2 linked regions of the Lepisosteus oculatus genome follow. The protein of the gene in region 1 interacts with the protein of each later gene in a biochemical or structural test. Links are inferred from orthologs where the notes say so. Each region holds a gene or a part of one and is shown in the gene's direction. Other genes may lie near its edges.

What was found.
Region 2: the proteins of src (region 1) and stat3 form a complex in vitro, tested with the Homo sapiens proteins (3 studies listed by BioGRID). The link is inferred for Lepisosteus oculatus from reciprocal best matches to the Homo sapiens genes SRC and STAT3.

The regions. Positions count from the first base shown.
Region 1 is NC_090711.1:12,030,404-12,038,100, forward strand, and holds the start of src (proto-oncogene tyrosine-protein kinase Src), read left to right. Parts: upstream 1-4,694; 5' UTR 4,695-5,249; intron 5,250-7,697. Other genes in the region: protein MANBAL, read left to right, coding at 176-283. UniProt on the Homo sapiens protein: Non-receptor protein tyrosine kinase which is activated following engagement of many different classes of cellular receptors including immune response receptors, integrins and other adhesion receptors, receptor protein tyrosine kinases, G protein-coupled receptors as well as cytokine receptors.
Region 2 is NC_090723.1:4,841,440-4,849,022, forward strand, and holds the start of stat3 (signal transducer and activator of transcription 3), read left to right. Parts: upstream 1-4,573; 5' UTR 4,574-4,815; intron 4,816-5,252; exon of another isoform or gene 5,253-5,441; intron 5,442-5,930; exon of another isoform or gene 5,931-6,046; intron 6,047-7,583. UniProt on the Homo sapiens protein: Signal transducer and transcription activator that mediates cellular responses to interleukins, KITLG/SCF, LEP and other growth factors. Once activated, recruits coactivators, such as NCOA1 or MED1, to the promoter region of the target gene.

The DNA.
Region 1 (7,697 bases):
CACGCTAGCAGATCTTATTGTTCTTTTGAGCTGTCTACCACCTGCACTGAAAACCTGAAAAAGTGAAGGTTGACCTTCAGAGGTTCTAAGAGAAGCTCGTATGGGTTACAGATGGCTTTTCTACCCCTTCATGTCCGTGGTCTGTCCTTCAATGCCTGTGCTTTTGCCCCTGCAGGACGCTGAGCCCCATGATGCGCGCAGTGCGGAGCAGAGCAAGAAACCCAAAGGACCCGCCCCCCAGCTGCGACAGAAGCTGAAGAAGGAGAGCAAGAAAAAGAGATGACCTGGCGCAGGGGCTGTGCCCGCGTGTGAGATCGCAGTTAGGAGGAGCATCGGAAGTGGCTGTGTCAGGCCAAGGAGACAGATTTGTGACAGGGCGGCTGAGCGATCTCAAATAGATAAAAAGTGAAATCCTTTTCATGCACAGGGGGTTAATATTGAGGCCAAGGGCAGGGTGGAGTTGGACACCTCTGTTTCCTCCGGCTGTGAAGGGGGTGGTCTCCAGAAAGCCCACAGTCTCTGTGGGGGAGGAGCTGAGTCCTAGGTGTCATGTTTTGCCTGTGCTCTGCAGCACCTCACTTAGGGCTTTGGCTTGCAGTGTGAATGGAAATTCCAGAGGTAAAGAATGAGCTGAAGCACACAAGGAAAGGGGTGAAGTGGAGTGCTTCTGTGAAATTCCAAGAATCTGCAGAAGGCAGCCCTTCAGAGCTCAGAATGAAACCTTTCGCTGGCCTGTGCACGCCGTTTTCACTTTTTATCACGTGAACCTGTTACAGACCTGTTTCAGACTTTCTCATGCTACTAAAGCCAATCGTCATCTGTTTACCACTGCATAGCAGCCTTGACTCTGACCAGCTGAAACTTCCTGGTATTGACATACCACATGCTCTCACTAACTGTGGCCTACGTACGTGGGCATTGTTTTTTCGTTGTTGGCTTCAGTAGTCTTTTCAAACCAAATATTTGGACCCTTTGTTTGAACAGTCCATTCCCAAGCATTCTGGACATGGAAGAGACTTGAAGCAAAATCATTTCCTTCTGAAAGCTTTTGTGTGCTTCCCTGGGTTTAGTACGTTGTGCTTGGGCAGGCCTTTCACATAATATATTTTTAATTGGGTGCTTTAAATATAGTGGCCCCAACCAGCATTTTCACTACACCTGTCCATATATAGGAGATGCATGAGAATGATAACTGAATATTGCATACTTAGGAATGCAGCGTCCAAGCACAAGTAATCTTGCGACTCAAAATAGTACGCAAAGTGCACGTACGGTTTTTCTAATAGGTATTTTTACATTTGGTTGACAAATACCCATTGGAGCCACTACTTGTCCTTGTATTATCATTTACAAGTAATGTTTAGGTACAGTACTATCTACACTTGACCTAAACTCTGTGAAATCTCCAGACAATGCATTTTAAGCTCTTGAACACTGGTGTAAAACCTCTTTGAAAAGGTTTGGAACAGTTTATTTTACTACCATTCTTGTTGTGTGCACAGCTGTAAGAAAATCACTGTGTTTAACGTGGGCTTTGTTTATGCTCTCCTCAACTTAGTCTTGTTTGTTACATTTCTCCTTCAGAATGTGTCACGGCATTGTTTTTTTACATATTGCAAAACACTTTTTGCTCTGTCTGGGGCTTGATGTTTTTTGTGTGCCGGCATTTACTCCCTTTTTAAAAAAAATGTATGTAATATTAACATCCGCCATTGCATGCCTTGTTCCTAGAGTGAATCTCTTCACATTTTGATTTCCTTTTTTTTTCTTGTGGCATCATGTCTGTGCACAAAAGCGCTAAAGAAACTGAGGCAAGACTGAACTCGCTTCCTTAGTGTCTGATGTGCGGTACAAGCTGAGATGTTTTCCTGTAAATGTATGGAACACTAAGGAAATAAATTCCGCCTTGAGAATTTTTCTACCCATTTTTGTGTTTCTCCTTATTAAAGTCTGGCAAAGCTTTGTTTTGTGCTTTTAGACTCGTGCAGGTTTTTTCACTTTTATTTTGAGAGCCAAACAATGTAGCCGGGAAGGGTGAGCAAAAATTAATGTCATTGCAGATCTGGAACTGTATCCGAGAGGAGCTCAGTTTGAAAAAGCGAAGGCACACAGTTCCGATGGGGGTTGGTATCTTGCAGCAGCGTTCAACTTCTGGTTTCTAGAGCATGAGTCTGTGTAATTGTAATTTCACATGGATTTAGAATCTGTCCTGTCTGCATGCGGGGAGGAAGCCTGGTTTGAGACTGCTCAAATGCCACTGCACAAACAATTTATTGCCATGCTTTTTCACAGTCCAGTGTCACTCTTGACAATATGTAGCTCCAAGTGATTTAAGAACATTCTTTCCTATGTGAACGTGACATTCACATCCATAGCTTCAAAAAAAAAAACACCCTGTCAAACAGAAGGGGGATTCTGGAGTAGTTGGTATTTTTAAACTACATGTCTCAACTTGGAAATCTTAAAATATGGAAGCTAAACATTAACATGAGGTCCACAGTTATATACCATGTGCGGATTCTGCTTACAAAATTTTAGAAAGGTGGATACACCAGGTAACTTGTAGGTGTTCGTATACATAGAGTATACATGCGTAACTAATTTACATTGTCAGTTTCTCTAAGGTTTATTTACAGGGCCACTGATCTTTTGGAATTTGCATCATCATCCCCTTTGGAATGGAAAAGGCCTTTTCTGTTAAAATACTTCCGTTGTCATTTGTCTAAATGGACATGATGTTATTACTGTGTTAATAGAGTCTGTTGGTTATGGAACTCATCTAGACTAGAATGTCTTTATACTAGAATAATGCAAATGAACTATTACTAACATAATCTAACCCCCATATGAGAAATGATAATAAATCTCTGCACAGTTCTGTAATTTATGGAAAGGCTGAATAAAACTTGCACAGTACAAGTATTCACCTTTAGAGTGATGCTTGTTTAGGTACAATTTAGATCAAACATATTACTGCCAGAAGAGAGGAACTGTATTATCTATGTAATAAAATGGTCCTGTTAATCAGTCTGTGCATTATCAATGCATAGGCAGGTGTTAAAGGTTACTGAAGCGTGTTTACTTTGGCTCAGTTTTGTGCCCTTTGAACAAATAGCATTTTTATGGTGTTACATTCCAATCTTCAAAAGTGGTCACAGTCAGGAGTGGACCAGTGGTTCGCATTGCTGTCTCACAGTGCTGGGGTCCTGGGTTCACATGGATTTCCTCCAGGTGTTCCGGTTTCCTCTCACCGTCCAAAGACATGCCAGCCGATTGATTGGCTTCTATAAAACCTGGCCCTGGTGTGTGTGCCCTGAGAACGACTAGCACGTTCCTTCCAGGAATTATGCTGCCTCGTGCCCACTGCTTGCCGGATTTGGCTCCAGCTCCCAGCGTGCCCCGGTGCTGGATAAGAAGATGGCTGGATGGCTGCTGTCACCTCCATGAGCAGAGTCATCAGGAAATAAGGGTTACAAACAAGGGGAGGCCATGTGGCCCATTCTGTTACTCTTGTGTTTTTTTCTGTATCAAAGTATCTTATCCAGTTGCCTGAAAGGAGTGATGGTATCACCATTGACAAGGTGGCTGGGTATCATACCTCCAACTGAGTGGTCAGTTCCAAAGCAGTCATTTTCATTACTGCCCTAAACAACTGGGCCACAATCATACATGTATTGTACATAAGTAACTGTGGATAAAGGTATCTATTAAGGAATGATCTAAGTCTTATACATTTCTCAATGGCAAGATATTTCTTAATGGAAGGCTGATCCTGAGACCCAGCCCGCTGTACATCAGGTAATCTTTTGTTCATACTCTGCTGACTCATTCTGTCATTCCTGATTTGGGATAAAACCTACAGGAGTGCCACACCTCTCCTTCCTATTTCATTTTGACATTCACTTACACTGAAGCACTGTTACACAGTAACACTGAACCTGGGCCCAGAACGCTTCCTCCTCTCTGTTCTAAAAATGAACACATAAATTCATTCAGTTGGCTTAACTTTGCATTCTCTTCACTCTGGAAACATTTTTTGGACATTTGGTGAGTGTATCAGAATCAGATTTTTATTGTTGTTGTATGAAGTCCACAGATTCACAGCAGGAACTTTGGTATTTAACAGAACCTTACTGCTGATTAATTACTGTCTCATTCTTCCTAAAAATACATTTTGTGCCTGTGTGTATGGCAAAGCTATGTGCGCAGTACTCTGTTTGTCCAGAAATGGTCAATTACAGGGCCAGCGGCTCAGATTGCTTTGGAATGTATAAAATCCACTAGCCACGATCCATCCAAGTTCCGTCAGTGCTCCTGATTTATTTTTATGTTCAGTCTCTCGCCTACAACTGTACAGTCCAAACCCCTGAAAGCCAGTCACCCACAATCCTGTGTCATCAGAAACACGAACTTCGAAAAATCTGTCTTTTTTTTTTTCTGGCAGCGCTATAGTGTCATGCACAGGCGTTCCCCCAGCCTATATATAACGTGTCACATCAAGGTGTTCATATATGGGCACCAGCAAGGCCATCCTTTCTGGGAAGCAGCGTTCCCCTTTGGTGTCCACTAGGCGGGGTTGTTTTATATGTAAATTCCCAAACCCCCTCCTTCTAAAATCCATTGGCTTCTTCCGATTCTTAAAAGATCGTACGCAGGCAGCAGTGGGATAGCCGCCCAGCCACACCAGCTGGGAGCCTTTTACGCCGATTCCGTAGCGCCCTTCGGCCGATCCTACCTCCCCTTTCGCTCCCAGCCTTGCGAATGGTCTCGCTGTCTGCCTCCTTCAGCCAAGGTCTGTTTTTCACCATATGTGATTAGGCAGCGCACTGCGCTGCTGCGCAAAAGATTGATCTCCCGTAATAAACTATTTTCTTTTTTTTCCCATTTTCCCCCAGATCCATGTGTTTATTAGGCAAGGCATTCGGGAGGTGGATATCTCCTTGCCTTTTGTAATCTCTTGGATTTTATAAAAGTTGAATTCAGCACTCAAAATCGGTGCTGTTTTTTTTTTTCCCCAGGCAATCCCCGCAATGACCTCGCTGCAGCCCTCCGATCTCTTGAATGGGATTTCAGATCACTCCTAGCATTTCGTTTCTGCTCTTAGCCCTGCGTGCCGTATCGGTTGTCTTTTTGTGTGTGTGTGTGTTTCTTTGGATGACGGAGTAACAGTAACACCTCGGACTTCATTCAAAAGGAACACGTCGCATTTGAGACCAAGGCTACCAAAAGGATATAAAGAACCCGAATAGGTGAGTAACTTATTCTCTTCTGTCTTGCCTAAACCGATCCGGATACTTGGCATTTAGAACAGGATCAATGACAGTCTGTGGTAGCCCTGCATTACTGAAAAAGGCAGAAAGAGATACAGTGTATAGTTTTCTCTTCAGCGTGAGAAATCATCTTGTAAACCAAATGTTAATCTGGGACTAGCCGACCACGTCTCAGTGGGTTTCTCATTGATTCTCATTTTCCCAAGTCGTTTTTAAAAATTCTTATTATATTGCTGTCAATGTCTGAAGCAGATAACAATTCCCTACGGTTTATGATTCTCTTAACAGAGAGGCATCCGCTGAAGGACCGGTTAGTATGTGTCAGTTAAGCCTATAATGTATATTTCTGTAGTTTCTTAGGCTTTTCTAGCCTAAAGTAAACGACATCGATCAAGCCTGTAAATAAAATGATGACTACAACGCAAATGGCTAAATTACCTTTGCTGTTTTCTGTTATTTGTCCAGTTTGCGTGCGACCTAAACGATAGTTTTTTGTTTGTTTTTAGGTGCTTGTTATTTTAAAATTAAAGTTGACTTAAGAGACGAACAGTTAAATTACTGCGTCCTTTTATGGTTTTTCACACCCATAACATTTCTTTTTAAAGCAAGATACATACGGGTATGACTCACCTTGTTGGAATCTGTCTTGTCCATTAAGTTAGCATAAACGTAATGCAAATGTCGGTAACTATGTTTAAGGGAAAGAATTGCAACAATCCCTTTGTTCTTAACACCTTAGATAACACAAAAGTGAGCTGGGTCAGAATGATCTCTTTAAAAGAAATGTAAGACGGCATGACTTGAATTTGTTTCCATGATGTTTGGCCAGCGTTTGCTCCAATGAAAAACATCAAATTCGTCATAAACACATCAGGACAGTTGTCAAAATGTGTAGTTCGAACGAGTAATTTTTCATTCTTTTTGCCCTTAGCATAGTTAAGGGTTGTGTTTTTAGAATTCATGACACACCAGCTGTAGTTTTCTTTTTTGCAAGACAATACACAGGTTTTGACATTTATCCTTGCTCATCACGTGTGTTGAGAAATACTGCAGTCTGGATTTCTGTCGGGACACTGAGTGGAGTGAGACGTACTGTAGACACCCGAGATCATTGTTTGAAATTATTTCGAGAGAATGTGGCCGTAGCAGCAAACTGTCTCAGAAGTCATTTCAAAGTCTCCAGTCACAGCAGAAGTAGGAAACCTCTAGGACTACAGTACTGTGATCTATATTCCGTGATCGTTGAGTCCGCTATAGAATTCCTGTACCGTGATAAAACACATATTTTTTTCAGGAATTCCTAAAAGCATTGACTTTCTAGTGAGTACTGAAGAATAGTATACATATACTGTATATTAATTTTAATGCTGTCTCTGACTTATTTCACACCCAATAAATACTCCTTGAAATGTTATACTTTTCTAGGGTTTTTATTATGCTTTCTGGCAGTTCCATCAAAACCAATTTCTAAAGCAGGAACTTAACAGGCAGTGTGCAACATTAATTTGCTTCCCTCTAAACTAGTTGCAAGCGCTTATTTGTGTGTGGGGATTGGATAATTAATGCCAACCCTGAGATTTGTTTTGAAGCAACTTCACAAAATTTCACAAGTGCGGTGTTACAACATTTTAGTAGGAAACGTACACACGCAGGGCTGATACGGATCTAAGCAAAACCTGCAACAGTGTCAGGTGTGTTGTGTAGCAGGATATGTATCCAGTTGGAAAATATTGTAAAGTAACCATCTAGTATAAAATTCCATTAAAAGTCTAATAATCCTTTACATTTTAGTATTTTTCCATTCATGCAAGATGACTGGACTGGAAGTAGATTTGAGCTCCTGATAAAGTAACAGCATCTGCTATGTGATGATGCCCACCAGAAGCTTTTTCTACCTACTGTATTTGTCACAAAAGACTAATTAGAGCATCACGTTATGTAAACACTGGAGCACATACTGTACAACCCTCTGCATTTGCCTTTTATCTTATTATAAAGTTTCTCAGTTTCCCTTGTTTGGGTTATTAATATTGCATCTGGCCTGTTTTCATTCAGGTTTTTACCTTCATTACTGTGATACATGACTGGAGGCCATGGCATTCATTAAATCTTGAGTTGCATTGTGGTTGGTAATAAAGTACAGGTACACCCTATTAATCATACAGAATGATAAAGGCCTTTCATTGGTTAAACATTGTCACATGATCATGGCACTGAAGCTATAAAAGGGCCTGCATATTGAAGACGTTTTTAAACTGTATAAATCATTGCTTGCCACTATATTGTAGATAACTGCAGTTTCTTGCCATAGCTGCCAAATGACATGTATGCCAAATAGTATTTGTGGAATTCATAACATAGCATGATGTATAACTCTGTGTCCGTCTGCCTAATACTTTCTGGTTTTGTTTTAACTTCAAGTTGAAA
Region 2 (7,583 bases), on another chromosome or scaffold:
TGAGAGTCCCCAAGCACCTCAGCAACAAGATAGTAGCTGTTACAGAGAGGTTGAAGTTCAGCTCTGACCACTGCCTAGTCTCTATAGGAAGAGAAGGGGCTTTTGAGATTGAATTACTCTTTCAGTGGTTATAGTCCATGATAGCATAAAGTATTGCAAAACAAGACTGGCTCCTTCTATTACTTTGTTATTGCCGGCACCTGCAATTTGGTTGAAAAGCACAATAGAACATCTGACTACTGTATCCACCTCTGCCTGTCACAGAGCAGATGAAAAGGACTCTTTAGAACCTGATACCTAGATGTACTTGTACAACTCCAGCCTCCTCTGAAAAAAGGCACTTTGGCACGATCAAAAAATGGCTGCTTTGCTTATTTTAATGGAGGTTGCTAATTGCTTTATGACTTTATGAATGCTGTTGGTTGTGAGACAGCAGGAATATTTTTATATCAGCAAACATGACTGTATCCTGGTGATCAGATTCAGAAAGGAAAGAAATGTATCCCTTCTTTGTGACAAAAGTAAAAAAACACAATTATGTTTACATTGACCACATAGATTAGATTTTATTTTACCGCTATCTTATGTATCCAGATAATACAGCTTGCTTTCTGCACTGTATCACTGCAAATCGCCTAACCACTAACAACTCAATAAAAAACACCCTGATTGACATCCTAAGAGTCTCACTGTCTTTGTGTCTGGTGTGGTAACTCCAGCCTCAGAGCTGTACATCTGTATGTCTGTAGAATGGGAAACTGTAAGTATGTAGAGCTGCTCTTGAGGACTGCCTGAAACTGACACAGTGACTAGGGCCTGGGGCCCAGAATATAATGGGCTCCAGTTCTTAATGAAGACACTACTGTCCTTTTCCAGACAAGTCTTTCCCAGCCTCACCAGTCACCCCAAATGTTTAAACAGCTACCACTGTAACAGGGGCTTAAACTGCACTGTAGATGTAGATGTAGCACATATTCTCAGTTTTGATTAATGCTACAGACCCTTGATTGAATTGAGTTTTTGTTGACTCATCTTCTGAGGTCTGCGAAGGAGTTCAACCTTGAATTGTTTGAAAGAGTCTAAAGTTATCTTCGTCATTGCAGTCTAAGCTGTAGTTAGGCGTCAAAGTGAGTTACAACACAGAACGTCACATATGGAACGGCTTTGAATTTTAAGTGTACCTGTGCACAGAGTGTCACGTCATAGTCTAGTTAGTCACATGCATCACCATTTGAAAGTCATAAACAATACATCCGTTTAAAAGGCCGATCCTTAACAGAGGCCTGTTTGCAGTAAGGAAGTGAGAACACAATGCCAAAGGGAGGTAACTGCTTTTAAACAGGACACAATCTGACAGCCGATCTTTTGATTAGCTTTACTGGAATGCCATTTGTATTGCGATGCTGTTGCCAAGTCTGAATAGGAAACCTGCTGATTCTTGTAGCGCTTGTTGGTTAGCTTCTAAGTCCGGAGAGAAGCAGCTGCTCATCACTATGGTAACAGAAGACACGAAATCACTCACCCGCAGCTGGGCACAAAAACCAGACCTCAGACTTCGTTTCACCTGAGACAAACTGGCAATATTTTACACTTCTTCTTCTCCTGCTTGTTGAAACCAGACAGAATGAAAAAGTAGAAAGGGGTGAAGCAGATTTCACACTGTGTCCTACTGTAAATGCTTTCATAAACAGTAAAACAAAGTCAGATCATTTGAAAGAGAAAGTATTAATTTTATTCTGGGAATTCATCTGTTTTAATCCGTCTGTTTCCTGAGATTATATAACACAGATCCTACCAGCACTTACTGTTTGGTCAGCCTGGTTTAAAGCTGGTTCACAAAAACCTATTTTTGCCTTCAAACTGGCTATAGCCTTTGGTTAGCAAAGCACTCGTTTTTTATATCTAAAGTGAGAGAAATATATATGGTTCATGAATAAATTTGATATTAAATAGCGTGGCACCTCTGATGGTGCGAATGGAAACTTTGATAGACACTGTGGGAGTTTGTTTCACAGGTTGCCCACCATAACCGCCATTGTTTCATTTAAGCTACTCCTTCCTTAGAGGAAATGCACCGTGTGTCAAGGCTGAATTCTTTCAGATGAAAACTGTAACTTAAATCCCTTTGCTTTTGTTTTTTTCTGTTTTGGTTGACTGGGGCTAAATAAAACAAATCTTGAACAAGCAATGTTTGGGAAATCAAAGCACCCGCACTGTCAGAACTGGACGTCTGTGATGTAAGTCCACACGCAAGGTATTTCTACAGTATCTATGTGTACAGTACATGTCATATCTCACTTGGCATGTCAGTTTGGAGTGCCAGCTGGGAGACAGCAGCTCGTATGTGCAAACCAACAGAATATTTAAGAATAATTGTTACGCTTATATAGCCCTTTTGTGGACAGGTAATGGGGATCCCCTCCACCACCACCAGTGTGCAGCCCTACCTGGATGATGTGACAGCAGCCAGAGTGAGCATGTACACTCCCCACACACCAGCTCTCACTGGGGAGGAGAGCAGAGTGATGAAGCCAATTCCTAGATCGGGATTATTAGGAGGCCATGATTGATAAACCCCGGGATTTTTAATGAGGACAGAGAGTCAGGACCCCAGTTTTGTGTGTCCCCATCACTATACTGGGGCATTAGGATCCACACAGATGGCAGGGTGAGTGCCCCCTACTGGGCCCATTAACACCTCTTCCAGCAGTAACCTCAGCTTTCCCAGGAAGTCTCCCATCCAGGTACTGGCCAGGCGTCAGTAGGTTGCAGTTGTGATATATCTACCGGTCCCATGGCATTCGTAATCCTACATTCCTGGGTTTGACTATAGGCGTGGATGCCTTCTGTGTTTAGTTGGCATGTTTTCCAACGATCACATGGGTTTTCAGCAGGTGCTATAGTTTGCCTGGCTGAATTGCTCATTTCATGAGGAGGAAGTGTGATGCCCCATCCTCCAGGGAAAACTCCCCCACAATGCCAGAGCCCAACATAGAAGGGACATGTATTGAGTAGAAAGGCAATGACTTCGTCCGTTGGCAGCAGACTGGGTTCCCATCTGGAATGAAGTCATGGGAACTCAGACCAGACCAGACCAGGGGTGAGCAACACTGCCTTACAGGATGGCCGCACGCCAACTGACTGTAATAATAATAATAATAATAATAATAATAATAATAATAATAATAATATCGCTTTATTAGCCCTATACAATTTTCTTGCATTAGGAACTTGTCTTTTCACATACCCCAACTTGCTCTCCGTGAGACACACAGACAGGGAGAGAAGCTGGGGGTCAGAGCGCAGGGTCAGACATTTATACAGCACCCCTGGAGCAGTTGGGGTGAAGGGGCTTGCTCAGGGGCCCAACGGAGTAGGATTCCTCTGCCGGCTGCAGGATTCGAACCGGCAACCTTCCAGTCACAGGCACAGATCCTGAGCCACAGAGCCACCGCTCCGCCCCTCTGCCCATCCACTCATTCCTCCCACCACACAAGAGCGCCAAGGAACCTGTGGGGTCTTTGATTGACACAGCAAGGGGAACCCCAGCGGGGACACTGCCAGGGACCTTACAAACCCTTCTATATGGCCTTTCTGCTTTTATAGAAAACCACTTGCTCTGACATTTTTCAACAGTTTCAGCTGCTTAAAATGACATAAGTCTGGGAGCAGCAGAAATAGCTTGTTATTGTGTGAACTGGACTGTTTTAACAATACCCCACAGCTTTCCGGATAAACTTTGCTGTTAACTTAAGGAGAAAAATCAGAAAAACTGAAGGCAGGACATCTCCCTACCAAAAAGACTGGATACCCCCCAACAGTACAAATGTACATGCAGTGCAGACATCCATCTGGAAAATGACACCCCCCCACCTCCTCTTCCTTCAACTTCAACTTCCTTCAAATAACCCTTCACTGTGTCACTTCTGGTTTGTGCCTGTTCAGAAAAGTAAAAACTTCGGACTATCTGATTATCAAAGGGCGTCTATTATGCGTAGAATGTGGAGTTTAGAATAGAATATGGAGTTCTTACTAGAGACATTTATTAAAAAGCATACCAACGGGAAATACAGGAAAAGGAAATAAAGAAGACTGATAGGTAAATTGTCATTGCCTTCTAAATATATGTTTGATGATTCATTTAATAGCTTTCTAGCTATTTAGTTCCTTTCATTAGCAATAGCTCACTCAATGCTCTTAAAAATCCAGTTTTCATTTGTCTTATTAAACTGCATGTGACGTAATCACTGCCAGTAACTCAGATGATTTCCAGCCGCGCTGTTCCAGGCACTGTTACACCTTCCCTCCGCTGCAGCCTTTTTAAAGAAGGGATTCTTTTGAAGTTCGACGGAAGCACAAGAGGGAGGTAAGATTTTATTCTAGAACGGCGGTGAGGGCGTGAATTATAAACACTGCGATGTCGCGCACAGTCTAACCTTAGGCTTTCTGTCCCCGCCCCCTTTTGGGTTTTTGGAGGTGCTGATTGGATGAGATATTTACACCTTTATGAATAATTAAGTAACAGGAAAGGATTCTCCACGGTTATTGGACCAAGGAGCTGTTTCCTGCTACTGGGGTTAGGTTGTCTCCAATGCTGGCAGAGGAAATACTTAACAACAGCGATTTTTCAGCAGCCATCGAGTTTGGGAAAGTTAGAGGAAAAACTGAAAAGCGAAGTTAGGGAATAAGGCAAACTGTTAGCACTTCAGACTGATTCTGTCCTTTATAAAAAGATTAATTCTCGCTTTTAGCATTTCTGTGAGGAAACAGTTACGGGACCTTGATTTTTCAAGAGGACCTCCAGTGAGAAATCAGGTAAGGGGCTCTTGTGTAATTGTTACGATTTGGCCAGTTTTTTTTAAAAAAAAAACCCTTGTTTATAACAACAAACCCGTAATCTCGGATTAAGGTCTGCTTCGCGTATGACGGGTTTTCTGCATTGAAGATGAGGGATGTGTAAAGATTTAAAAGCCACACGCTTTTGCATGACTCACACCAGACGAGTCAGAAACACAGAAGCGCAAAAAGCGGACCGCTCGGCGAGAGACCCGGGGATGCGCGTTTCCAAACCTGAGCGAAAGCGAAAGAAATGGCCAACGTCGTTGATTTGAAAAAGCACGTTTTTTTGTGTTTGTCCCCACCCCCTCTCTCGATTGAGATTTTATTGATTTTCCCCGTGTCTGGCTGCAGTGCGATAATTTCAAGGGAGGTGAGCCCAGCAAGGCGACAGTGGCGTGTTTCTGAGCGCTTACCTGCGCGTACGAGTGAACCCCCACACCTGGCGAGCTTGTTCTGGTATGAGCTGTCTGTAGTCTCATCAATGGAAATGCCTGTTCTGGGTGAATGCCCACTTTCAAAATTACTCCGTAAAGATCCCCCTCATTTGAAATTTAAAACCCCTTAAGGCTCGATAAATGAGAAGTCATTCCACATGTCATGGTGTGTACTGTAACCGGCATTCAGCCAAGTCGGTGCCAAGACCCGGGGAGTTTTTATATTACCATATACTAGAACTGCGTTGAAGAGATTCCGGAACTGAATGGGGTTCCGGCACCCTGATTGGGGGGAAAAAAAGAAATATGATGAGATATATGTTTTTTTGAAATGATAAAGGGTAAGTTTCAGTTCATCTTTCAAGTTGTCCGCGTAAAACCGTGTTTTTCGTGAGGAAGTCTGCAGAAGTGGGTTTAGCTTCATTGACGATTTTCTTTGCACGAACACTTGTGTGTGTGTGTGGATAAATATTAAACACATTTCCTGGTAGAGAAGAGGCGAGCTCAAAGAACAGTCCGACAGGTCGGAGAGTTTTCTGTTCACTTGTGATTCATCTGTTAGCATTACGCAATGCTTTTGCAGCGAAAGAGAACAGTCGGTGTCAGATCGACTTCCTCGCTGGGCTAAATCGAGCTTCGTTCTCGCTTGCTGTGGTGAACGGTTCCGATGACATTAAAAGGCTATATATTTTTTTTTAGTAATCAAAGTTACAAAGTAACACCTTCAGAAACGTTTTGGAATTCTGGCTTTCATTTTTACGCGCAGAACGGAGGTGAGATCATGACTAATGCTTAAGAAAAACTCACTTTCCTTCATCCACCAGGAGTTCAAAAGGGCTGGTTGTTGATTATTTCGACACCCCTGCTAAAACCCTAAAAATAAAAGGACGGTCACTTAACGTCTACGTTTATTTTTGGTTATGCAACCAAATAGTTTAGGTAAGGCTTTGTCTTCTGTGTTTTGGTTGGTTAGAGATCCATACCCGTTCTTTAGTACTTGCAAACTGTAAGAAACCGGATTTATGTTTTGCAGAGGTGAGGTGACGCCTTTGAACCGTGTGCGTAGTTTCACGGTGCTTTGGGTCAGCTCTGATTTTTGGAGGAGGCTGAGACGAGCAAATCGATCGCAGTTCTTCAGCTTTAAAGACGCGCTCGTTTCCACGGCCTGAGCATGTGTTGTGGTAGCTCGATAAATGAGGTGCTAGGTTCGGCCCTTTGAAGTGGCTGGGAAGGGGAACTCTGCCTTACACCTAAGCTCGCTGTGATCAGCACAGGTACCTGCTCGCCGGCTCGGGTGGATGTACACGCGAGTAGGCTTCATGACAGGCTTGGGAATTTCCTCTCTGGCAGCCTGAAGCACGTAGCTGAAGGTCGAGAATTTTTCTTTTACCAGAGAATGGAACTGTAGCGGAGGTTTGGAAAAGCTGGGGGGGGGTCCTTTGCACCCGATCTCCGTGCTGCAGGGTGGCCAGTCTCCACTCGTGAGCGTTGCCGTGCTTGAGCAACGAGTCGTCCATTGACACGGGTGATAGTGAGTGGGTGTGTGTGTTGGGGTGGGATACTTCCACTTGCCGTTCAAGAAATGACTTGGGCTTAGAGTCTGCGCAGATCCCACTCTTTTAGCATAAAGCATGGTCTGAGTTTTCCCAGATTTCCACTTTTCCACTCTCGCTCTGCATCAGGCATGGAAGACGCTTGGAGAAAGTGGGCTCGTTGAAGTCTGCAGGGCTTGATAAAGGTTCCTCTCCGCCTGGTGGGCGGCCAGTACTCGCTGATCAGTATGTGATCATTATTTTGTCGAAGCTGTCTTACACAGGAAGCTGCTTGTATTGATGAGGTCTAAATGCAGAGGTCTTTGCTCTGGTGTGGGCATTCCACTCAACATCTCTTCAGCACTGCACACTCTCAAAGATGTGCTGTTCTTTTGTGATGCCCGTTTAAGTGCTACTTGACTGAGCTACAGAGCTTGATGGCTTAGACTGCATTTTAAAATCAGGTGTTGCGATGGCTTGGTCTTTTTGCCTTTCAGCTCGTCACCGTGAAGGATCAGTAAAGGATTATACTAGAGGTGTGTTTCATAATGTCTTCGTCAGCCTGACATTTTGTTTTCAATATTCTGTGGTTTATCAATGACTTCACCTGCAATTGCCCCTGCATCCCTGTCTCTTCCTCTTTCTTCTCAGCTCTCATCTTCTCCCACTCCCACGCCTCCTTGGTGAAGTGGACTGTGTGCTTAAATGCACCCTTGTTTGAACCTGTCAGCTGTTCCACCACTATCCGAGTGCTTAAGTAGTGCTTTAAAAGTGAATT